Ovis aries: one gene and its partners. The protein of the gene in region 2 interacts with the protein of the main gene of each other region in a pairwise test. Links are inferred from orthologs where the notes say so. Each region holds a gene or a part of one and is shown on either strand. Other genes may lie near its edges.

What was found. The genes of interacting proteins can lie anywhere in the genome.
Region 1: the proteins of RASSF1 (region 2) and STK4 interact in binary tests that used the Homo sapiens proteins (3 or more experiments, as listed by UniProt). The link is inferred for Ovis aries from reciprocal best matches to the Homo sapiens genes RASSF1 and STK4.
Region 3: the proteins of RASSF1 (region 2) and LATS2 come close enough for resonance energy transfer, tested with the Homo sapiens proteins (2 studies listed by BioGRID). The link is inferred for Ovis aries from reciprocal best matches to the Homo sapiens genes RASSF1 and LATS2.
Region 4: the proteins of RASSF1 (region 2) and SUV39H2 interact in a two-hybrid assay, tested with the Homo sapiens proteins (2 studies listed by BioGRID and IntAct). The link is inferred for Ovis aries from reciprocal best matches to the Homo sapiens genes RASSF1 and SUV39H2.
Region 5: the proteins of RASSF1 (region 2) and STK3 interact in binary tests that used the Homo sapiens proteins (3 or more experiments, as listed by UniProt). The link is inferred for Ovis aries from reciprocal best matches to the Homo sapiens genes RASSF1 and STK3.

Annotation. Positions count from the first base shown.
Region 1 is NC_056066.1:73,339,731-73,344,821, forward strand, and holds part of STK4 (serine/threonine-protein kinase 4), read left to right. Parts: intron 1-192; coding exon 193-330; intron 331-3,799; coding exon 3,800-3,928; intron 3,929-5,041; coding exon 5,042-5,091. UniProt on the Homo sapiens protein: Stress-activated, pro-apoptotic kinase which, following caspase-cleavage, enters the nucleus and induces chromatin condensation followed by internucleosomal DNA fragmentation.
Region 2 is NC_056072.1:50,057,921-50,062,851, reverse strand, and holds the start of RASSF1 (ras association domain-containing protein 1), read right to left. Parts: upstream 3,671-4,931; 5' UTR 3,639-3,670; coding exon 3,389-3,638; intron 1,457-3,388; coding exon 1,350-1,456; intron 824-1,349; exon of another isoform or gene 767-823; coding exon of another isoform or gene 614-766; intron 1-613. Other genes in the region: ZMYND10 (zinc finger MYND domain-containing protein 10), read right to left, coding at 4,274-4,349, 4,430-4,555, 4,673-4,794, 4,880-4,931. UniProt on the Homo sapiens protein: Potential tumor suppressor. Required for death receptor-dependent apoptosis. Mediates activation of STK3/MST2 and STK4/MST1 during Fas-induced apoptosis by preventing their dephosphorylation.
Region 3 is NC_056063.1:35,915,759-35,920,849, forward strand, and holds part of LATS2 (serine/threonine-protein kinase LATS2), read left to right. Parts: intron 1-1,987; coding exon 1,988-2,120; intron 2,121-3,228; coding exon 3,229-4,442; intron 4,443-5,091. UniProt on the Homo sapiens protein: Negative regulator of YAP1 in the Hippo signaling pathway that plays a pivotal role in organ size control and tumor suppression by restricting proliferation and promoting apoptosis.
Region 4 is NC_056066.1:28,885,175-28,890,265, forward strand, and holds part of SUV39H2 (histone-lysine N-methyltransferase SUV39H2), read left to right. Parts: intron 1-546; exon of another isoform or gene 547-2,859; coding exon 2,860-3,531; exon of another isoform or gene 3,532-5,091. UniProt on the Homo sapiens protein: Histone methyltransferase that specifically trimethylates 'Lys-9' of histone H3 using monomethylated H3 'Lys-9' as substrate.
Region 5 is NC_056062.1:78,477,611-78,482,701, forward strand, and holds part of STK3 (serine/threonine-protein kinase 3), read left to right. Parts: intron 1-1,276; coding exon 1,277-1,441; intron 1,442-1,955; coding exon 1,956-2,123; intron 2,124-5,091. UniProt on the Homo sapiens protein: Stress-activated, pro-apoptotic kinase which, following caspase-cleavage, enters the nucleus and induces chromatin condensation followed by internucleosomal DNA fragmentation.

The DNA of each region.
Region 1 (5,091 bases), on a different chromosome or scaffold from region 2:
TCCTGGGGACTCCTGCTCTAATGGTCATACTTCCTACTTTGAGAATCTTAGATTTTCGTTGCAGTTAGGATCGGCTTATGGAGGAGAAGAGGAACATCATTTTATCAAACTTCAAAATTATGTCTAGTCATATTTTTATTGGAATATCACTTTTATTTTGCCAAATCGGTTTTTTTTTTTCTTTCCAACCAGGCCATCTTCATGATTCCTACCAACCCACCCCCCACATTCCGAAAGCCAGAACTGTGGTCAGATAGCTTCATGGATTTTGTGAAGCAGTGTCTTGTCAAGAGCCCGGAGCAGAGAGCCACAGCCACTCAACTCCTCCAGGTATGACTCACCCTGGGATGCTGCCTCTCTCTCTGTTTCATTCACAGGTTATCCATCCAAGATGCTGTTGACCCACCCACATGGAGATGGTGAAGAGCTGTAAGATATTCCTTGCCTCCTGTGAGGTTTGAATGTAACTGCTTAGAAGAGACATAGAAAAGAATGTTAAATCACTGAACAGGACAATCATGCAAGAAAATACAGGGCTGTATGGGATCAGAGAACAGGAATTGGCCTTTATTGAGCACCTGCTGTGTGCTGGATCCTTTACATGTTGTGCCATTTAATCCGCACATACACCCTGTGAGAGAGAAGTGTTATTTTACTTCTACAGATAAGAAAACAGAGATTTGGAGAGGTTGGCTCATTTAGAGCCACTTGGTTGGTAAACAGCAAAGCCAGGCTTAGGAGCTAAGTCTTTTTGACTCCAAAGCAGGAGTGCCATACCCAGTTCTGGGAAAGAACTGGGATCAGTGGTAGGTCCACCATTTTGAACTGGTGATGCCAGGACTGCTTTCGTGGAGGAGGTAACTTCAACCTTGGGCCTTGAAGGATGGGTGGAATTTGGCAGGCAGTATGCTTAGTCAGCTCAGACAGTAAAGAATCTGCCTGCAGTGCGGGAGACCTGGGTTTAATTCCTGGGTCAAGAAGATCCCCTGAAAAAGGGAATGGCAACCCACTCCATTTTTCTTGCCTGGAAAATTCCATGGACAGAGGAGCCTGGTGGGCTACAGTCCATGGGGTCGCAAGAAGTCAGACACAACTGAGTGACTAACGCTTTCACACTTTCTTGCTTAATATTTAGGAGCTTGGATTCTGGAGCCTGACTGCCCAGGTTTGAATCCTGGCTTCCTGTTTGCTAGCTCTGTGACCTTGGACAAGTAACATAACCTCTCTGTTTAGTTTTCTTATCTATACAGTAGAGATCAAGTACCTGCCCCATAAGTTGGTTGTGAAGATTAAGTGATACAATATGTGTGACTTTGAATAACATTTTCACATATTAAAGATAATATATTATGAATTTGACATATATCTATTATTGAGCTAGGCCAGTGTTTTTCAGTCATGTCAGATCCATTGCTGCCTTATCAACACAAATTTTTTAATACTTACTATCTTTTTGGAATGAACCTCATAGATACTAAAATCCACTTACGCCCATTAATTTAAAAAGAATCAGTGTAATATCTGTGATATGATGGAGGAATATAAGGATAATTATTTATAATAAAGTAATATATGTGTCAATATAGAAATGCTCCAGCTTTTCAACTTAGAGATGTGATGAAGTAATCGGACACCTGTACCTAACATCATGAATGAGTTTAAATTTAAGAGCAGTAAGAAGAACAGAAACCTTTCCATTCAAGAAACACCAGAACATGAGTGGGTGGATACTAACAGAAGTCTAATGTTAAGTAATAACAGAGCAGCCTGATTTGTATAAGAGATAAGAGGAGGGAAATCAACTTACGGACTTGCCCAGTGGAGAGAACCAGGAGCTAGTTACTCTTGCAGATGAGCTGGGTTCTTTTTCTGAGTAGTGGCAAATTATTTTCCTGCCTGGATGAGGTACTGATACAGTTTTATAGAAAAGATACCTCCCATATTTTAATCCCATCACACGTTGAGGCATCCTGTCCACTTCTAGAGTTCTTGCAAAGACCTTGGAGCCCATATCTTCTGATGGGTGGTGGGGAACAGAGAATGGATTGCAGATAAACACTGGGGACAGTACTAGAACAAGTTTGGAAAACAACAGCAACCCCCACTCTTCCAGAAAGGAGTTTTCCTGTGTAACTTTCACAGCATAATTTTTTTTTTTATTGTATTACACAGGCAAACAACAAAATTGTAAGATGGTATTAATGTTAAAAACGTTAAGCCTAGGATGGATGATCAACAAGGTCCTACTGTATAGCACAGGGAACTGTATTCAGTATTCTGTGATAAACCATAGTGGAAAAGAATATAAGAAAAGAATGTATGTGTATAACTTAGTCACTTTGCTGTACATCAGAGATTGGTACAACATTGTGAATTAACTATATACTTAAGTAAAAAAACTTAAAAAAAAGGACTTCCCTTGCAGTTCAGTGGTTAGGATTCTGCTCTTTCACTGCCAAGGGCCTGGGTTCAGTCCCTGATTGGAGAACTAAGATCCCACAAGCCACATGGTACAGAAAAAAAAAAAAAATCCCCAAAGTTTTAACCTTTTTTCTATTGAGGAAAGTCAACAATATCCCTGTGTTTCAAGTGCCTTTGCAGATGCATAATACTTGGGCTGACATCTGCTACGTATGTGTGACCAGTTTTAGTATTTCTGCAGTAACTACCTTTTGGCACTAAAATCTTTTTGCATATGCATGCACGCTCAGTCATTCGTGTCTGACTCTTTGCGACCTCATGGACTATAGTCTGATAGGCTCCTCTGTCCATGGAATTTTCCAGGCAAGAAAACTGGAGTGAGATGCCATTTCCTCCTCCAAGGGATCTTCCCAACCCAGGGATTGAACCCAAATCTCCTGAATTTTCTGCACTGGGAGGCAGATTCTTTACCACTGAGCCACTTGGGAAGCCACCAAATCCTTTTTACCCAGATACACAGTTGGAAATGCTATAGGACATTGAATAGAAAGAATAAGCAGGATGAGTAACCTATTCAGTGATTTCTAAACAGTGTCTTTATCCCACCTATGTCCCCCTCTCTGAAATCACCTCCCAAATTCACCAGACTGTGCTTATCTGTTGAAAAACTGTGTCAGTGTACACGATCACTGTGTGTCTGTACTCTGAGATGTGCAGGGGGCGTGAGGGATCTGCACGGTGTATTTTTGTGCGGGACGACTGCATTTTGAATGAGATTGCTTGTGTCTCTGCTTCCTATCCTGTGTCCCGTGTAGCTTGTGTTCTCTAAACATCTTAACCGTAAGCTCCCTACACATTTACAGAGCTTCCTCTAGGGGGTCGATGCCAGCCTGTTGACACTCTCTAGAGTTGCTAGAAATGGAGGAAACATTCCAGCCAAGCCAAAAAACACCTGGGCAAAACTGAATGTGCCTGCTCAGAGTTATAAAGTGAGTGTGAGTTCAGTTCTGTCGCTCAGTCATGTCTGACTCTTTGCAACCGCGTGGACTGCAGCACGCCAGGCTTCCCTGTTCATCACCAACTCCCGGAGCCTACTCAAACTCACGTCCATTGAGTTGGTGATGCCATCCAACCATCTCATCCTCTGTTGTCCCCTTCTCCTCCTGCCTCCAATCTTTCCCAGCATCAGGGTCTTTTCAAATGAGTCAGTTCTTCGCATCAGGTGAGAGTGTGAGTTAGGGTTGGCTGTTGCCCAACGCATAAAGAGAATGATTAGATGCACTGGTTGATGCAGCAAAGACTATGGAGGGCCTCCTCCGTGCTGGCTAGTGTTTCGGCATCAGTGCCACATAAACCATCTTCAACTTTCTTGTTGAAGCACCCGTTTGTCAAGAATGCCAAAGGAGTGTCCATACTGCGGGACTTGATTAATGAAGCCATGGACGTGAAGCTGAAGCGCCAGGAGGCCCAGCAGCGGGAGGTGGACCAGGATGAGGAAGAAAACTCTGTGAGTGCAGGCGTTGCGGTGGGCCTTGGGCATTAATGCTTGTCATTTTGTGATTGTCAGCCAGGTAAGACGAGTCAGTTGTGGGGTCCGCCTGGAGCTGGAGACGCTCCATGCCCCACCGGGTCCTGTCGTGGACCAGGGCTTGCTGGATGGATGTTTGTTCTTCTCCCAGTGCTTCCTGAGACACTTCCATATTTTATTCTTTTGCCTCCATATCTTTTCTTCTATTTAACTTTTTATTCAGGAAAGAGAACATTCAGGTCTGAGACTGGGTTTTTCTGTGCTCTTTTGGGACATCTAGTATCCATACTAGCTATGTAGACTTTACACTGATAAACTCTCTCACAACCCTCAGATTCCAAAGGTGTGTACCTTAGCTCCTTAGAGCAGTGTTAAAAAAAAATATGCAGGTTAGATATGCGGCTCTCATGTGGATAAATGTATGCTTTCCTTTGGTTGACTAGGAGTGTTCTCATGGAGTACAGCTTTTAGAAATTGTGAATCAGTATACTGTCCACCTGTAACATATATAATGGTGACTCAGTGGTAAAGAATCCACCTGCCAACGCAGGAGACGCGGGTTTAATCCCTTGGTCAGGAAGATCCTCTGGAGAAGGCAACCCCACTCCAGTATTCTTGCCCAGGAAATCCCACGGACAGAGGAGCCTGGCGGGCTCCAGTCCATGGGATTGCAAAAGAGTCAGACGCAACTTAGTGACTAAACAACAATGACATATTTAATACTGTACACCAACTACGCTTCCCTAGTGTCTCAGAGGGTAAAGCGTCTGCCTGCAATGCGGGAGACCTGAGTTCGATCCCTGGGTTGGGAAGATCCCCTGGAGAAGGAAATGGCAGCCCACTCCAGTATTCTTGCCTGGAGAATCCCATGGACGGAGGAGCGTGGTGGGCTACAGTCCACAGGGTCGCAAAGAGTCAGACACGACTGAGCACGGACATGACACCAACTACACTTGAATTAAAAGAGTGTTCTTAGTTCTATGAGTAAGGCTCAAATCCAGAAATATTTGCAGCAAGATGAATATGAGTAATGCAGGGAACTCGATCTTTTTAATCAAATTAGCCCTCATTTGAGATTTCCTCCTTTTCCAGGAGGAGGATGAGCTTGACTCTGGCACGATGGTCCGAGCAGCAGGGGATGA
Region 2 (4,931 bases):
CATTCCCAGATCCCCTGGTCTGCTCTGATTTTTTTTGTATATACGCTGCCCAAGCGAGTACTCCTGGTCCACCGAAGAGGAGGGGAGACTGAGAATCTTCCACATTCCAGCAGCTGGTGACAGGCCGGGACCGGCAAGAGGTGGGGACCAAGCTAGCTCCATCCAGGAGTGGAAATGGAGGGGCCTGGACCTTCCTTTGCCTCTCTCCTAAACACACTTCTCAATTCCCGGCGAGGACTCCTCCCCATCCACTTCCTCCAGGTCCCCCAGAGAAGGGGTGGGAGCGCCCACACGCGGAAATCGAGGTGCTAGTCTAGACTGCACAGTCAGCCTTAGTAAGGGGTGGATAATGCCTGTCCCTGGTCTACCCCAAGCCACTCAGCTGCTTCCCCTGGTTCAACCGGTCTGTGACAGAAACAGCAAGGGCTCGGCACCCAGTACCGATGTGCTGAAAGCCCGACACACGGTTCCGAGGGCTGGCCCCGGTCCGATTCGAGATCCACGCTGACAGGAGGGCGGAGCGGCCCACAAACTCTCGAGACTGCAACGTACCGTGGAGGGGCGAGATGCCAGAGATCGCCCCCGCCCGCCTCCCTCAACCTCCGGTCCCCACCTGGTCCCGACGCGGCCTGCGCGCCAGCGAGGTACGCGCAGTGAAGTACTGCTCGAGCTCTGAGTCCGAGTCCTCCTGGCTGCAGTAGCCACTGCTTGTCGTGCTGTTCCAAGTCATCTCGAAGGAAGGCGTTCCCGCGTCCGCCTCACCCATCGCCGCGCCAGCCAGCCCACCAGCCCCGGTGCACCGGTAGACTCCCACCACCGCCCCAAACGCGTGTGCGCGTGCGCGCCCGTATATGAGTGTGCGTGCGCAGGAACCAGTGTCCGAGCCGCAACCGTTAACACTGAAACGTAGACAGCCAAGACATAGCTGTCATCTCATTGGAGGAGGGATGTCGAAGGGCGGGGTCACACACGCCTCGCCTCCAAGAATGATCTCAGCCCTGGGGCAGCTCAGTTCAGCGCAGTCTCGCAGGCCCCGCCTCCCAAGGGACACTATGGGGCTTGTGCGCGTGTGCACCAGCGTGGCCTCGAGGCCGGATGCAGCTGCGGGAAGGTGCGGAAGTTGCACTTGCGCGCAGTCTGGGCGGCTCCGGGCGGTTAGGGCCGAGTCAGCACCCCCCGGCACCCCTTGGAGCCCGCGCGCAGAATTAGCCACTCTCTGCCTCCGGGAAGTCGGCTATCAAAACGTTTATTGCGCGTAGCGCCGGGCGGCCCTAGGGAACGCCTCCAATGTGGCCCCGCTCGTCCACGCATCCCTGCGTTGCCCGTAAGCTCCCCGGTCCCGCGCTCACCACATTCGTGTCCCGCTCCAGCGCCGGTTCCCAGCCCAGGTCCCGGGGCCCGCAGCAGTCTAGGGAGACGAGCGCGCGGCAGCGGTAGTGGCAGGTGAACTTGCAATCTGCAGAGAGGCCTGGCCATAAGGTGGAGGAACCCCAGCAACCAGCTCGGAGGAGCGTCCCGGGGACAGAAGCGAAGCCCCGGGATGAAGGCCGTTGCTCGTCGTGTTCTCCATGACTGGCCTTATCTTAGTCCCCGTTAACACCCACTGCCACTCAGATTTTAGAGTCTCCCCTGCCGCCGCGCCTCCCCGTTCTGTCCCCCCCCCCCCCCCCCCCCCCCCCCCCCCCCCCCCGCCCCGGGCCTGGAAACTGGCAGGGAAGACTTCATGCTGTTAGGGATCCAGGCCTGCTCAACAGTTGGATTTCTAGCGCCTAGGGCAGAACTTCCCCTTCCTCATTATCAGCGTCCCTCCCTCCTCCCATTTACTGGAGGGGGAAACAAAAAAACTTTTAACTCAGTGCCTCTTCGTGTCATTTTTCTCTATTCCCCTTACACACAAAACTTACCAACACTGGTCTCTTACTTAATTCCTCGCCTTCATCCTCTACCCATTCCAGTCTTGCTCTCCTCCCTCCAGGGAACTCAGAGACCGAACCGCGGAATGCGGTGGTCCCTTCACCTCTTCAGCATCGTCTGATGCTTGCTCTCCGGATTCCCCGGGGGCCCTCACTACCGCGGTTTTCCTCCCACCTCACTGTAATCCCTGTTCAGGGGGCTTTAGTTCTGTTTCAGCTTCCAGATCTAATGGTGGAGAGTCCGAGGCCCAGTCCTGATCGCTTTTCTTCTCTGTGTACACTGACCTACCTTAGATCCAAGGCTTCCATCTGACCTCCTTGAGATCAAATTCTGTGTCAGTATCTTCATTTGGCTGTCCAATAAACAATTCAACCAGACATGGCCAACATTTAACTCACTTTCCTACTCCTTTTAATTCTTCACTTCTCCTCACCCTTGCCCTTGCCAGAGTTCAACTCAGCAAAAAACAAAAACCAGACCAAACCACCCCAACTCATCCTTGATGCCTCTCTTGTTTCTGCTTCTGACACACACCCAAATTGTCCTGTTTTTCATTCCCATGGCCACTTTATTTCTCCTTGGGAACACTGCTATCTTCCCAGCCCTTGTTCATGCTTTTTGTATGCTGCCACAAGTCCCATACTCGTCCTAGCTGAATAAAGACAAACTCCTGTACTAGATGAGAGGGTCTCCATCACACACAGGCTTGGGACATCTTCCCTAAGTTCCTAAATGGGCCAGAGCAGTGATTCTCCACCCAGGCTACACATTAGAATGACCTGTTTTTAAAAATCGCTGGTACACTCTCAGTGACCTGACTGATTCAACAGGTCTGCAGTAAGATCCAAGGGTAGAGGTTTGGAGGGCTATAAAAGCATCCCAAGTGTTTCTAGATGGTGTATGGCCAGTGAGACAGCAACCTCAGCTTGCTGGTGATTTCTGGGAGGGCAGAAGCACCAACTGGCGTGTGGTTGCGTTTCATGTTTTAGCAGCTGGCTGACTGAACTTCCAATAGGTATTTGCTAAAGACAGACTCAAAACTCCTGCTTGTAGCCCTGTGCCCAAGTTTCTATTTCCAGGCCTTCTCCCATAGGTGGGTAAGTTCCCTTCACCACAGGGATTCTCCTGGGGGACTTGGCAAGTGAATCTTTCCAAAGGGGTAAGTGTAAGAATGTGAGTCCAGAGACTGACAGGAACAAGCCTTTCTCAAGAAGGGCCAAGGCACTGGTTAAACTTGAAAGTAGTACCTTGTTTACAGAGAAGCACGTTTGCCTAACTGTCTCAGAGGCAGGTGGAGCTTGGCAAGGTTATAAACTATCAGCCCGCACTCTCTTGTGCTATGGGGCAAAGGTTACAGACCTGGTCTGTGGGAACTGTCCCCCCTGACCCCCTCCATCGCAACTTGGCCCTCAGCGACGGGGCTGTCCCTTGGCTGCCCGTTTCGCTCCCGCCAGCTCTTGGGTCCGCTACTCACGCGCGCACTGCAGACCCTTGCGCACGACGCCCCAGATGAAGTCGCCACACAGGTCACACCACGTGTGCGTGGCGGGCCCCGCCGGCTGGAAGCGGTGGCCCCGGCCCGGGACCTGCTGCCTTGCGGCGTTGCGAGCTGTGCCCGGCGAGATGCGCAATGCATTGGCACGCTCGAGCCGAGTGCGCCCCGGGGCGGCGCACCGTTCGGGTGCCAGTTCCCGCAATTCAATGAGCTCAGGCTCAGCGGACATGGCCCGGTCGGGCCGGGTCTCCGGCCGGTTCTGGGCGCTAGCGAGCGCGGGGCGGGCGGGGCCGCGGGGCGGGCCCCGATTCGGCGCCGCCTCCAGGATTCAGGCAGAGCGGCGGGAGAGCAGAGGAGAGCCGCGCAATGGAAACCTGGGCGCCCGCGCTGTGTCGGCCCGCAGGCGGAGTGGGACGGCGGGTGCGGCTGGGGGCTGCTCTCTCAGAGTCCCCGCCCTCCGTTTCCTATCCTCCCTTCATCCCGCGAGCCACTCCCCTCCTCTTAACAACCACGACGACCTCAAGGGGCCACGAGGAAACAGGCGTGTTTGTGGAAGCTAGCTTTACTTTACAGTACTAGAGGAAGAGGGTCCCCACATCCGGCCCTTGTCCCCTCCCCCCCGCCCCCCGCCCAGGCCTCCTGCCCCAGCTTGGGGAGGCTGCACCCTAAGCCTTCGCGCCTGATAGAGCAGGAAGTGGGGAGCGCTTAGATGGGGGGAGATGGGTCAACAGCTCTTCCCGCCTGCTATCCTCACCACCCGGGAGGCTGGGGCACTTGCAGAGGCCAGATTGAGATCCAGAGGTTTTGGGGGGACACTTGAGTGGGTTGTAGGCACGGGTGGTTGGCCCTCAGCCGCTGCAGCCTTCACTTGGCTCTGTCCCCCTGGGCTGCCAGGACACAAGCCTTTCCATGCTTCTCCCAGTGCTTGACTTGGCACTCCCTGCAGGCAAATGGGCCGGTGAAGATGCAGTGATCCGAGGGGTATGGGAATGGGGGTCCAAGGTCCTAGGATGCCCTCACCTGCAGCAATACCACTCATTCTGGCACCGGGAGCAACGCTTGGAGGCCTCTGCACTGCAGTAGGCACAGCGGGGCCGCTCTGGAGCCACTGCCTCGAGCACATCCAGCCTGTAGGTCTCAGCCCACCTGGAAAAAGGGTCCGGAAGGACTTGCTGGACCTGTGGGTGGGGGGACAGGGGCAACCCCACCCACATCCACGCCGCTGCCTCCCTTCTCCTCTTCTGCTGGCTTAGCAGGCCTCACCTTCGCGCCTGCAGCCTCAGGTCCTGTTCCGAGGGGCTAAATACATGCCGCAGCTGATGCTTGGCGATAGCCTGCCACTTGCCTTTGTTCTCTCGCTCTAGCCGCTCCCAGATTTCTGGGATCTGGGGAAGAGAAGCAGAGAGTGGCAGGGAGGAAGAGCTGGTCAAGTGAGCAGTGGTCCTGACCAACTAACTTCCAAGAGCCTACCTGTTCCAACACCAGGTCCTTCTTAGGGGGCTGGGCTTCGGTCAGGGCCAGG
Region 3 (5,091 bases), on a different chromosome or scaffold from region 2:
GAACTGTAGCTGAGTCTGGGGGCTGGCATTGGCCTGATCCTGCCCCCTGGAGCAGACTGCAGGCCATCAAGATTCTAGGGGCAGAGCTGAGCCTGTGCACATGAGACTGCAGGTGTTGTCATGCTCATTTCTGGACACAGGGACATGTGAAGAGAATAGAAGGTTCAGGACAGTTGACTGGTCTGTGGTTCCCCGTACCCTGCTCTGACTGACTACCAGCCAAGAATACCTTTTCTCCTCCGTCTGCCCACATCCTGCTGTCTTTGAAGAGCCAGCTGTGTGTCCTCATCTGGCCTGAGGACAGTCCCTGGTTCCTCTCCCTTCTCTGGCCCTCTTCCCCGAAACTCATCCTAGCAGTGTTGGGGGGTGGGGGCTGCTTGTCTTTCCAGGACTGTTCTGGAAGAGGTGGGGGGAGCTGTCCTGCCAGGCCTGTCCCGGGGACCCATGCTCTCTCACCCACTGTAGCCCTTCCCCTGGCTCCCTCCCTAGTGTGGGGGAAGGCTGATTCTCTGACTTCCACAGACCAGACAGGAATGTCTCCATCCAGTCACAGAAGTTTTCTCAGGAGGAGCAGAACAAAGTCTTCCAGGCCTACCATCAAGATCTGGGTGGGGTCAGTTTGTGTGAGGAAGAGGAAACAGAGATCAAAGATCTGGGTGGGGTCAGTATGTGAGAGGCAGAAGAACCAGAGATCAAATTGCCAACATCCGTTGGATCATCGAAAAAGCAAGAGTTCCAGAAAAACATTTACTTCTTTATTGACTATGCCAAAGCCTTTGACTGTGTGGATCACAACAAACTGTGGAAAATTCTTCAAGAGTTGGAATACCAGACCACTTGACCTGCCTTCTGAGAAATCTGTTTGCAGGTCAAGAAGCAACAGTTAGAACTGGACATGGAACAACAGACTGGTTCCAAACTGGGAAAGGAGTACATCAAGGCTGTATATTGTCACCCTGCTTACTTAACTTACATGCAGAGTAGTACATCATGCGAAATGCCAGACTAGATGAAGCACAAGCTGGACTCAAGATTGCCAGCAGAAATATCAATAACCTCAGATATGCAGATGACACCACCCTTATGGCAGAAAGCAAAGAACTAAAGAGCCTCTTGATGAAAGTGAAAGAGGAGAGTGAAAAAGATGGCTTAAAACTCAACATTCAGAAAATGAAGATCATGGCATCTGGTCCCATCACTTCATGGCAAATAGATGGGGAAACAATGGAAACACTGACAGACTCAATTTTTGAGGGGCTCCAAAATCACTGCAGATGGTGACTGCAGGTATGAAATTAAAAGATGCTTGCTGCTTGGAAGAAAAGCTGTGACCAACCTAGACAGCATATTAAAAAGCAGAGACATTACTTTGCCAACAAAGGTCTCTCTAGTCAAAGCTATGGTTTTTCCAGTAGTCATATATGGATGTGAGAGTTGGACTTAGAAAGAAAGCTGAGCATCGAAGAATTGATGCTTTTGAACTGTGGTGTTGGAGAAGGCTCTTTGAGAGTCCTTTGGACTGCAAGGGGATCCAACCAGTCCATCCTAAAGGAAATCAGTCCTGAATATTCATTGGAAGAACTGATCCTGAAGCTGAAACTCCAATACTTTGGCCACCTGATTCGAAGAACTGACTCACTGGAAAAGACCCTGATGCTGGGAAAGATTGAAGGCAGGAGGAGAAGGAAATGACAGAGGATGAGATGGTTGGATGGCATCACCGACTCGATGGGCATGAGTTTGAGCAAGTTTCGGGAGTTGGTGAAGGACAGGGAAGCCTGGCATGCTGCAGTCCGTGGGCTCACAAAGAGACACGACTGACTGACTGCACTGAATGTGTGTGAGGTTCATCAGCCCCAAGATAAGTCCCCAGCAGTTCTTGCTCCACTGACTCGGAGGCGGGTGTGGTACAGAAAGGCTGTCCCTGGAAGCTTCAGGTGACCCATGCCCAGGCCCCCAGCTAATGTCTCTGTGCTCCCCTCTCCAGGAGATGGCGGGCAGGGCCCTCAAGCAGACCGGCAGCCGCAGCATCGAGGCCGCCCTGGAGTTCATCAGTAAGATGGGCTACCTGGAGCCAGGCAAGGAGCAGATCGTTCGGGTCGTCAAGCAGACCTCCCCAGGTGAGTGCACTGGAGGCTATGGAGAGGCGGCTGTGGGGAGAGGGCCTCATGGCCATCGCGCAGACCACCTCCCTCACAGGAGTCCGGATACGGGGACTGAACCTGCCCTGCCCAACATCCTATATACCCCAGAATGGGGGCAGATCGACACTTAGCTGGGTCCTTACTTCCTGGGGATTTGTGGAGTTCTGTTCATGAAAGGGAAAATTCAAAATGAAAATTAGGCCACTCAGCAGATTCTTTCTTCTGGAGTTGTGCGGGAGTCTTAAGGGGAGGCTTATTTCATTGATTCTAAAACACACTTGTTTCCCACTTTGTGAGCTCGGAGACCAGGCTGCACGGTGGCAGGTGGCTCCAGAGTACAGTGCCTCAGGCAGAGGTGTGGGAAAGCCACTCCCACCATACTCCCGGGGAGGGAGGGCCAGTCGCCTCAGCACCCCTGCCTGCTAGTCAGTGGGTGTTTCTCTTCCTGGGTAGAGCAGATGGAGCCATTTTGGGGACCTGAGGCCCCTGGGGGGCAATAAGGGATTCAGGATATTGACCAGAAGGAGTTTTCCCTGGAGACCTTGGATAAACCCAGTTCATCTGCTGAGTGAGGAACTTGCAAGGGCTTTGTATTAAATGCATTGTACCTTCCTTGAGATGAGAACACAGGTTTCCCTTTTCTTTTTTTTTTTTTTGACGGCATAACATTTCAAAAATGTATTTATCTACTACATATCTTCAAAATATATAAACTAGAAATTGACAGAATTAAAAGAACAATAGAAAAACATATTTTCACTGTGGGTGAATTTAACCACCTGTCTCAGGCACTGACTGAGAAACGCAGAGTGAAAACGGTGAGAACACGGACATTTGCCCGTCACATTTCGCTTCTCTTGATTGAGGAACGCCCTTAAGCATCGCCTTGCTGCCGCCACGTCTCGGGGTCTGGGTGACAGCTCATCCCCCGCCCCGGCCCTGGGGGCAGCCCCGGCGCTGGTGCTTCATGTTCCCCTGGGGGGCTCTGCCGGGGCTCCTGCGGCCCTAGGAGGAGGGTACCCGACCGGCGACGCGGGGCCTTCTGCTCGCGGCCCTCTAACGCCGCCTCCGTCTCTGCCCGCAGGGAAGGGCCTGGCGCCGGCCCCCGGGCCACGAAGGCCGAGCTTCGAAGCACCGGGCGAGCCTTTCCCGCCCTTCACGCAGGTGGCCGGGCCGGCTTTCGAGGGCCCCGCCGCCCTGGAGGAAGCGCCCCGCCCGTACCCGGACTTCCTCTTCGCCGGCGTCGGGCCTCCTTGTCGTCCGCACCCGCCCAAGGGCTACACGGCCGCCGGGGAGGCAGCTCGCATGAGCCTCGCGGGTCCCGGGGGCGCGCACTACAGAGCCCCGCTGCTGGTGCCCACGGAGCCCCTGGGCTATGGCGTCAAGCGCAGCTCCTCCTTCCAAAGCAAGGCGACCCCGGAGGCCGGCGCGTACGCGGGGCTGGCCGCCAAGGGCGCGGCCGCGCCGGTGCCAACCCCCGGCCTCCAGTTCCCAGCCCCCGGCGCCGCCTACGCTCCGGCCCCGCACCCCAAGCCGCCACACCAGGGACACCCGGGGGCCCCCCGGGGCGCCGCGTTCGCCGGCGACAGCGCCCCGCCCGGCCTGGCCGCCCCCGCGCGCACCGGCCTGGGCGCCGAGCGTTTCGAGCCGGGCGCGCCACCTTGGCCGAGCGCCAGCCTGGCCCGGCGGGACTCGCTCCCCAAGCCGGGCCCCAGCCGCACCGGTTCGTTCAGCGGCGCCGCGGCCCCGCCTAACGCCGTGACGGCCGTCACGGCCGCGCGCATCCTGCATCCAGTGCGGAGCGTGCGCGTGCTTCGGCCTGAACCCCAGACGGCCGTGGGGCCCTCGCACCCCGCTTGGGCACCGGCGCACCCGCCCGACGGCCCGGAACCCGCGGAGGAGCTCTCAGGGGGCGCCGAGGCGCGGGGCCGGCCCCCGCCTTATCCGCGGCACTTGCTGCGGCCGCAGGCCCGCGCCGAGCCGCTCGACGTGGACGGGCTGTGCGCTGGGCTGCAGCAGGGCCTCCGGGGCGGCCGCGCCTCTGAGCCCCCCGACGGCAGCCCCGCGAGCCCCGGGGCCACCAAAGCCGACAGGGTGGGCAGGGACCGGAAGCAGATCCAGACATCTCCGGTGCCCGTGCGTAGGGGCAGCCGCGACGAGGACAGGCGCGAGTCACGCATCAAGAGCTACTCGCCTTCGGCCTTCAAGTTCTTCATGGAGCAGCACGTGGAGAACGTGCTCAAGACCCACCAGCAGAAGGTGGCGCGCCGGCTGCAGCTGGAGCAGGAGATGGCGAAGGTGGGCGCAGGGCACGCCTGGTGTCGGGGTCCCAGTGGGAGAAGCCCCCCCGCATCGTGTCCCCTGTCCCGGCTCGGGGTGGGGAGGACTGTGCGGATGTTCCCCCGGTGAACGAACGCGTCGCTTGTTACGGCGTGTCCTTTCCGGGGAGCAAATCCATCAAGGCTCTCCAACTGGTAAAGAAACACTTTGAAAGAGGAGAAAGAAAACTTGAGTTTTTTTTACACATTGACATTGTGGGAATTTTAAAGAGAAGTATGGCTATTAGTGATTCAGTTCATTCTTAATGAAGTCTATAGTTGTTAAATAATGTTTGAAGTAGATGCTAGTTGACACTAAGCTGTTAGGGAACGTTAATTATTAGTGAAATTATAGAAATGCTATGGTGATTTCAGATTCTAAAAAGTTTTAAAAATAAGATCGGATTCCAGTGAAAATGCTGTTCCATTTTCATTGACTTTTCTGTTTTCCCGTTTTCCTCTGAACTGTCATTAAATTATTACATTGCTCTTAGAGTTCCAGGAATTTTACGGTCCCCTTTTGCACAAATTTTTAGTGATACAAGTTGTCTTTAGTTTTTAGAGCCTAAAAGTCAACCTGGAGAAAGAACTCCTTATTTTTACATCTCCCCTTTTGATTCTAAATCTGT
Region 4 (5,091 bases), on a different chromosome or scaffold from region 2:
AATGGATCATTCTTATGACTCCACTCCATTTTTATAGGTAATCAAGAGTTGACTGCGTGTCTGAATAAGATATTGACATCCTGTGAGACTTAAGTTTTGTCTTTTATTTGAGAGTTTAGGGTATTGAAGTCATTGCATTTAAGTCAAACTGATTTCTGTATAAAATTATCTTATTTTTTAAAAAGGGAAATTTTTTATATAAAAAGTAAAATGAGGCATATATATGAAAAGTAAAATTTTCATTCTTATAAAATGGAAGAAATCTACAAAGTAGAAATAAAATGTTACTAATATTTACATTGCACTCATACTTTAGAAGCACCTTTACCATCCATAAGTTAAGTAGGTACAATGTAATTAACATACAAAATAATCACTAAAAATGCAAATGACTCATCATTGAACAATGTATTATTTTGAAAGCTGACTTCAGTGGCTTAGTGTTTTTAGTGTTTCATTGTTTGCTGGCAACTTCTGGTGTATAACTCAGGGCTATGGTAGGAAAAATTGTAGCAGGAAAAAAAAAAGAGGACCAGGGTTGCACTGTTTTATTTTGGAATCAGAAAAATGTAACTTTTATTTATAATTAAGGGGAATAGGTAATGTTACACAATGCCAAACCATCCTCATTGTAATTGAGCGTTTATGTGCTAACAACAGTTGCAAATTGTAGTCACCTGACAGGAGGGAGAAACCCATGTTATGTTTCAGTGAGCCAGTTTGACTAACACTTCAATATATGTCTAGGCTTTTTCTTCCCTGGAATCATGGTATATATTTTCATAGAAGTACAGTTTTTGTGCATATGTTCATGCCATAATTTAATTCACTTTTTTTTTGACTAAACATTTTTACCAATTTCACAGAGAAGCAGAGCTCTTTTCATTAACAAGCATTATTGTGTATTGAGTAGAATATAATAAAACATGGAGATAAGCTCCTTGAGTAGCCAGGTTGCCTTAATGCTCCTTACCCCATCGTGCCTCAGTACATTTTCTGGACCTGCCAGGTCATAATAAACTAGAACTAGTATGACACCCTTATTTTATAATAGAACCTCTATTTAAAATTTCAGGGGAAATCAAATGTATCCCAGTTAATTTTTTATCAATATCTATGAATTAAAATGCTAACTAAAAACCATAGAATGCAGTTTAATTACTTTATATTTCAGAAGACATTTGACCCTGGCACTCATGGGTATATGTTCGATATTCCAGAGAACAAAGAAAATTGAGACTTGAACAATTTATTACGTACAGTGTGTACACTAGACTTCTGCCTGCCAGTGCAGATGGAAGAGACCCAGGTTCGATCCCTGGGTTGGGAAGATCCCCTGGAGGAGGAAATGGCAACCGACTCCAGTATTCTTGCCTGGCGACTCCCATGGACAGAGGAGCCTGGCAGGGTGCAGCCCATGCGGTCGCAGAGTCGGACACAGTGGAAGCGACTTAGCACACATGCACGCGCGCTAGACTAGCTTTTTAAAGAGAAACTTAATACAGCACTGGGAGAAGACACAGCCTGACTCCTGGCGTGGGAGAGCAGGATTTTGGGTACCATGGTGACCAACAGCAGTCTGAAAGATAAATCAAAATATTTGATCTTTGGTGCTTTGAGGGCCTGTCACCTAATCCAGCCACAGGCAAGTGTCTCTGGAGTTGTGCTGTTCAATAGAAATATGATACAAACTACAGGTGTATACAGTCGGCCCTCTGTATGCCCAGGTTCTGCACCATAGGATGCAACCAACCTCAGAGAGAGAAAATATCTGAAAAACAAAGTTGCAAAGCAAAACTTGAATTTGCCATGCGCTGACAACTATTTATATAGCATTCACATTATATTAGATCTAGAGATGATTTAAAGTATACAAGTAGGTTGTATGCAAATACTGTGCCATTTTACATTTGGGACTTGAGCATAGTGGATTTTAGTATCTGAGAGGGGTCCTGAAACCAATCCTCTGGTGAATACCAAAGGACAACTATAATCTTAAAAAAATTTTTCTCATAACTGTGTTAAACAAAATGGAAAGAACAAGGTGAGACTTCTTTTAATAACACGTTTAATTTAACCCCAAATATTATTTCCACGTGTAATCAGTGCTTTTAAAGTAAACAGTGTACATTATTTTTGTGCTGCGTCTTCGAAGGGCAGTGTGTGTTACACATAGAGCACATCTCAGTTTGGACCAGCCACATTCAGTAGCGACATGCAGCCAGGAATGACGGAGACAGTTCACTCTGGGAAATCTAGGGAGCTGTGTGTGTCCTGGACATTAATGAAAAGGAACTACCCTCATATCCAATGTAAAATATTAAATTATAGACCTTGTTCAGTCACCAAGTCGTGTCCAACTCTTTGTGATCCCATGGACTGCAGCACTGCAGGCCTCCCTGTCCCTCACTGTCTCCTGGAATTCGCCCAAGTTCATGTCCATTGAATTGGTTATTACAGACCTTAGAGGGTGGTGCCTCCGGCTGTGCTGGCCAAGCAAGCCACTGACCTATGTCATAAATTCGTTTTGGTACAACTTATTTCCATATAAAGATAAATACTGTTTTGTTTAACTTGATCACTGGTAACATATTCATGAATTTCATTACTTTTATCTTTCTCCAGGTGTGACTCTTGCCTGTGGTCAAACATTATGCTATATCTAAGTTTTCTGTACATATTTTATGTAATATAAAGAAAAACAGCTTTATTTTATGATTTGTATTTCATCTGCTAGTAACCTGTAACTATTATGAATTTTATTAAGAAAAATAATAATGAATACCCTTCAAGATATTAAATTATTTTTGGTAAATGGATATGTCATAATCTGATTTGCATTTTCTTTTATATTTTAAGGATATGGAATATTATCTTGTAAAATGGAAAGGATGGCCAGATTCTACAAATACTTGGGAACCTTTGCAAAATCTGAAGTGCCCATTACTACTTCAGCAGTTCTCTAATGACAAGCATAATTATCTATCTCAGGTAAAGAAGGGCAAAGCAGTAACTCTAAAAGAAAATCACAGAGCCTTGAAACCTGCTGTTGCTGAATACATTGTGAAGAAGGCTAAACAAAGGATAGCCCTGCAGAGATGGCAGGATGAACTCAACAGAAGGAAGACTCACAAAGGAATGATTTTTGTTGAAAATACTGTGGACTTAGAGGGGCCACCTTCAGACTTCTACTACATTAATGAATACAAACCAGCTCCTGGAATCAGCTTAGTAAATGAAGCTACCTTTGGTTGTTCATGCACAGATTGCTTCTTTGAAAAATGTTGTCCTGCTGAAGCTGGAGTTCTTTTGGCTTATAATAAAAATCAACAAATTAAAATCCCACCTGGTACCCCCATTTACGAGTGCAACTCAAGGTGTCAATGTGGACCCGACTGTCCCAACAGGATCGTACAGAAAGGCACACAGTATTCACTGTGCATCTTTCGAACTAGCAATGGCTGTGGCTGGGGTGTAAAAACCCTTGTGAAGATTAAAAGAATGAGTTTTGTCATGGAATATGTTGGAGAGGTACGTTCACCTTCTCTCATAGCAGATAATGTACAAGGAAGGTTTATGCTTTTGAAAAGTTGCCTTTTTAACCTCCGTGACAAACATTTGGTATGTTTTGATAATTGTTGCAAATATGTACAAATTTCAGGTTTGAAAGAAGGGTTCACTGGTATCATTAAAAATATAAACTTGAATATGAATCAAAAAATTAATGACAAATGTAGTAGTCATCTTTCAACAAACACCCAGTCATAGTCACTGAAACTGGCATTTGTAAATTTGAAAATATGACAACTATTTTTACACAAGAGTCCTAAGACAATTTTGAAAATCAGATATAAATACATCCTGACTTGGAAACTTTGCGGGGGGGTGGTTACTTTTTAACTGGAGGAAAATTGCTGTACCATGTTGTGTTGGTTTCTGCTGTACAACAACGAAAATCAGTCATATATATATGTATCCCTACCCCTCCCTCTTAGGGCTCCCTCCCCCCATCCCACCCCTCTAGGTCATCACAGAGTACCAGGCTGGGCTCCGGAAACTTAAATTGTAATTCACTTCCTCCATTTGACCAAATATGATTATGCGTAGTCGGCAAAACTCGGTTTTGTACCAGTAGGAGAGACTGTAGAGTAAGTGGACGATTTATGACCAAGTACTATAAAATACACATAAAAACAGGTATTGCATCCGCCAGCAAGGAATGTCCAAATCCTTTGTAACTCGGTTACAAAGACTGTTCTCTAAATTACCAAATACTAAGTAAATTGTCTTTATACATGCAGTGTAGATCTACAGAAGATAGTATTTACTGCATACTATTCTAAGCACCTTGTGTTTTAACTTATGAATTCTGTCAGCAACTCTATGACATGGTAGCATTCTCTCCGTTATTATACAGGAGGAAACTGAGGCACAGAGAAAAATAAAGCAACTCACCCAGGGACACTTAATAGTAACAAAGAACCAACATTCAAAACCAAGGCTCTAGAATCTTGACCCCTGCACCATTCTTCCCCAGACTGAATGGTGGGAGAGGCTGTGGCTAGAAAAATACAAGTGTGACTGCATATCTGGGGTTGTCAACTCAGATATTTTAGAAGTTGTTTGGAACTGGATCACCTTTAAGTATCTGCATTCACCCAGAATTCTCAGGTTAAATTGCATCCCTATTTTGATCCTTAAATTTTTAGACAATGGCAGATTATTATAAATCACTGTTCAGGAGACTGGATCTCATATAATCAAATCATTCTCTTTTTGAGTTTAATAAATGTAGCTGAATTTGGTTGCCACCATGAATCACTTGAGACATTTTTGGTTTCTTAATCTGAGCATGTGGTGAAGCTGTGTTCTTCAGAGCGGAGCTCTATAGATGATGGTCGTGAGTTGCAGAATTGCATGAAAACCACCTGTTCTACAAAACTAAACTTGCCATACAGTTAACTGTGGATTTAACATACGTTCTCTCCTGTATTTGCAACTTATTTCCATTTGTAACTACACACAGATTAATTATAGGAAAATTAGCTATAGAGCACAGATACTTGTAAACTTAGTTCTTTACATTCTGGT
Region 5 (5,091 bases), on a different chromosome or scaffold from region 2:
GTATTTTATGCAAATATAAACCACCTGGCAATTTGCTTAGAAATTCTAACACAATAAAGGTTTTTTTAAATTGAGGAAAATTCATATAACATAAGATTTACCATTTTAAAGGGGAAAATTCCTTGTCATTAGTGCGTTTGCAATATTGTATAATTACTACCCCTGTGTAGTTCCAAAATATTTCATCACCTTGCTATCCTTTAAGCAGTTTCTCTCCATCCTGCTTCTCCCTCTTGTCCCTGGCAGTCACCAGTCTGCTTTCTTTTCCTGTGGATTTGCCTATTCTTAATATTTCACATAAGTGGGATCATACAGTATGTGCTTTCTGTTGTGTCTGGCATCTTTCACGTAGCATAATGTTTTTGAGGTCCATCCACATTGCAACACATGTCTGTACTTTATTCCTTTTCATGACCAAATAATATTCCATTGTTTGTGTATACCGTAATTTATCTGTTCCTCTGTGATAGACATTTGGGTTGTCTTAGCCATTGTGAATAGTGCTACTGTGAATACTCGTGTACATGTTTGTTTGAGTACCCGTATTTTACTTTTGTCAAATGGTGATAATCTGCTGTGTAGGGTTGTTATAAAGATAAATGAGCTAAGGCATATGGAACTGTTAGCACAATGCCTAGTACAGATAGCACTGACTCTGGTGCTATCAGTACGGAAAGTCTTTACGTTTGCACCTCGCTCCTCCTTTTTCCTTCCCCTGATGGCCTGTTTTTACGTTTCCGTTCTCCTGGTCTTTCTCTGACATTCTCATTTCTGAGTTCTCATTATTAGAGTTGGAAATCTAGGACGCGGGTGTGGGAGGAGGAGTGTTATTGGTGTCCATGCTTCGTGCAGGAGGCTCTTGGCAGCTCACCCCTCCGCATTTCCTCTGCTTTCTGCGACACTGTTGGTTTCCACTTTCAGCAGGAAAGTGAGGAGGCACCGCAGGGAAGGGTGTCTCTGGATTTACTTTTTCAGGACAGACAGCTGTCATATTGCCACCTCAGAGTTAGATGGCGTAGGGAAGAGTGATTTCTTAGGGTCATGGTGCTTCTCGGGATATGTTACGTGCTTTAGGAATGACATGGATAATTTTAAAGAAAGGAGAAATTGAATGATGACGCTTTCCTTCAGGAGAAGAGGTTCTCGGTACTTTTCCTTTTAGCCTTGCTCCTAAAAGTTTATGATCTTTAGAAAGAAGTGCTTGTTAACAATGCTCTCTTGTAAGAGTTTAGTTGTCTCAGCATTTCAGTTGAGTTTTTAAAATATTTCTTTGCAGTTAACAGAAGATGAAATTGCAACCATTCTCAAATCTACTTTGAAAGGACTAGAATACTTACACTTTATGAGAAAAATACACAGAGATATAAAAGCTGGAAATATTCTCCTCAATACAGAAGGACATGCAAAATTGGCGGATTTTGGAGTTGCTGGTCAGTTAACGGTAAGTGTAACACTTTTGGAAGCACTGTTGGTTTGTATTGTCCAGGTTCGAGTGTGACTAAACCTTGGTAATATCTTTTGAGGGTTATGAAAAGAAATGCATAACTTCATTGCTTCAAGGAGAAGAAGCCATTATTTAGGTATTATTTAATTATTTTTTTATTTACCGTTTAAGAGACATTGGATGAATATGAAAGAATATATATTGCCATCAAAATGCTTAAATATTTGGAAAGGAAAGCTGCATTTGTTCATTTCTGTAGGTTTTATTGTTATAGTGCTATCTTTAATGAAGGTAGTGGAGTTAAGTTACTTATGGACTCTTGGTTATTTCAGAATTCTAAATTCCTAAATATGTCATGTCACTACTGGTTGAAATTTTAGGAAAATAGTCAATTTCAGATATAACCTGTAGTATTTGAGGGTTCCAAATATTTAGTTTAAGGAATATGTTGGCAAATGCATTTCCTTGGTGTTTTTGTAGTTGCAGTTATATCTATGTAATATTCTTGCAGGATACAATGGCAAAACGCAATACTGTGATAGGAACTCCATTTTGGATGGCTCCTGAGGTCATTCAAGAAATAGGCTATAACTGTGTGGCTGACATCTGGTCCCTTGGCATTACTTCTATAGAAATGGCTGAAGGAAAACCTCCTTATGCTGATATACATCCGATGAGGGTAAGAAAATGATGGAAAATGTCAATGTTAAAAGTGCTGCAGTTTTGTAGTGTGAGTGTAAATAAACATGGAGTAAAAAGATCATTTGAATTTGGAGTCTGTGCAAAAATTAGCAAAATTATCTGTCAGGGATTTGTGACTGTTCACTTCTTTCCACCATCATATCCTTAACTGGGAGGAAAAGAAGTGAAGCCTGTATTTCTCTCTACAGTGGCTGTTTTTCTCCCCCCAAAGTATACCTGCTAAATTTCCCCATGATTTAAATAGAAGAAAGGGCTGGTAAATCCACTACATTATTCAGTTCCTCATATTCTGAATGTAACAGTGGAGGCTTGGAAGAAATCCATTCTCTTCTACTTACCCTGCATATTGTACCTTTTTGTGTTTTTGTTTCTCTAGCTGAGCTAATATTAAAAGGGAATCCCGATTTCTAATATTGCTATGTATCTGTAAGTGAAATAAGCTTTTATTTTTAGTGTTCAGCAAGAAAATGAAATTCCTTTTATGGATATTATTTTATGCTTGTATGAACTCCTTTTCCATGATAAATTTTTGAGTCTGAAATGTATAGATTGCATATTCAAGTCTAATTGCCACTGCTTTAGAGGTGATGAACAGTTTTTAAATTTATTAGTGTGTGAGTCTCAATTCATTATAGATAAGTACATTTATCTTTGTAAACGTATTGCCCTCTAGTGGCTGTATTCAACTCGAGAAGAAAGGATATAGGAATGAAGGCAGAAAGAAGGTGGAGGAGGGAGAGGGAGAGAGAGAGTCTGTGTGTGTGTGTGTGTGTGTGTGTGTGTGTGTAAAGAAAAGAAGATGATTTCAGAATAGATGGAGAAATGTGTGAAGTAAATAGATGGGAGGAAAAATAATGCCATATTTTAGAGTGTTTGAAAAAGAAGAATAAATTAAAATTCTGATACTATAGTGCTATTATGAATTGAACTTCAATAGTGTAGATAATAATGTACTATACTGAAATATTTAAAAATCTGCCTGCCACTTTAAAGAGAACTCTTTGAGGAACATAATTGTATATGATATGTATCGTCTTCCTTGTACATGTAAACTCCTCTTGCTAAAGCGAAACAGAAAAATAGCATGAATTCTTTGAAAATATTGACATGAAATATAACTAGGTCAGCATAAAACAATCAATAAAATTCTCATTTCTTTTCTGATTATTAGATATCTTTGGTACTTTCAGCTAGAAAGTTTTTGGGGTGATCTTCAGCTAGATATATTTGAGTTTAGTGAGGTTAACCAAAATATCCAAGACAGCCTAGCTAAGTGCCAGAGCTGGGATTTAACCCAGAACTTAAGAGTATTACTGTTCTGCTTCCTCCAGTATAAATCTTATTTTTTCCAACCAAACAGTTCCACATATTCAGTTTGACCATGAGGTAGTCTCTTTAGCAGATAGCCAAGGATTTAAAAAATAAAGCGCAGAGTAGCTTCTCTCATTGCAAATTACGTGGCACTATGTCACAACCAAGTATACTCCTAATCCAACATGATTTCTTTTTAAAAAAATTTTAAAAATGTTTATATCCAGGTCTTAAGAATTGAAAACTGAGTCAGTCATTTTTTAATTAAAAAAATAAAACGGGAATCCATGACCTCCTTCCTTCCTGCCCAATTAATAATAGAACCAAGTTGAGAAATTCTGGACGACTGGGCTTGGTTAGAGGTGCCAGTTAAGTTGTCCCCACCCCCGGCACACCTGCACATCTTCCATCCCCCAGTTCCTGCTGCGTGTGCCTGGGTCGGCACCTGGCCCATCTCAGTGTGTGTGCACAGGACTTTGCCCTCTGACATCGTATGGCCAGAAATTACAACTCAGCGACAAAGCTCAGGATTCCCTTTTTCTCTCGCTTTTTACATAGTTAAATTTTAGCTCGAATGACATGTTCTGTGCTTAACAAATCTACTTTCTTAGTTTTCATTTTATCTTTTTTACCCCCATGGTAATTTCTTAGGGCTGTCTTAACATATTACCACAAATTTGGTGGCTTAAAACTATAGAACTTTATTCTCTTACAATTCTGGAGGCCAGCAATTTGAAATGAAGGTGTTGACAGAGCTGCACTCCTTCAGAAGCTCTAAAGGAGACTCCGTTTTCTGCCACTTCCAGCTTTGGGGTGGTGGCTGCCAGCAGTCCTTGGCATTCCTTGGGTTGCAGCTATATGTCCCTGCCTGCACCTTTTACATTACTCTCTCCTTTGTGAGTGTCTGCGTTTCGCTCTTCTGTCTGTCTCAGATTTTCCTCTGCCTTTTTCTTTAAAGGACAGATGTCATAGGATTTAGAGCCCACTCCAGTAATCCAGAACAATCTCCAACTGCAGGGATTTTTTTTTTTTTTTTCCCAAATGAGATCCGGTTTAGAAGTTTTGAGTATTAGGATATAGACATATCTTTTGGGGGCCACTCTTCAACCCACTATATCCTCTCTAATCTGTTCCCTTTTTTCAAATTATATGTATTTAAGATTAGTAACAATTAATTTCAGGATCTATTTTCCTTGTCTTTTCTCAAATTTTAAAAACTGTGGTAAAGTATTCATAAAAATGGTATCATTTAAACCATTTTTCCAGTATACCGTTCAGTGGCATTACAGTACATTGACATCACACTGTCTACTACAGAAATATGTATCATCTCAAACTAAAACTCTATACACATTAAAAAATAACTCTTTATTATCTCCTCCCCCAACACCTTATAACCATAATTCTCTCTGTTTCTATGAATTTGACTATTCTAAGCATCTCATATAAGTGAAATCATACAATATTTGTCCTTTTGTGTCTGGCTTCTTTCACTTAATGTTTTCAAGGTTCATCCATTGTTGTAGCATATATCCAAATTCTTTTTTTAAGGCTGGATAATATTCCATTTTATAAATACCACATTTGTTTAACCATTCATCCATATTGGACACTTGAGTTGCTTCCACCTTTTG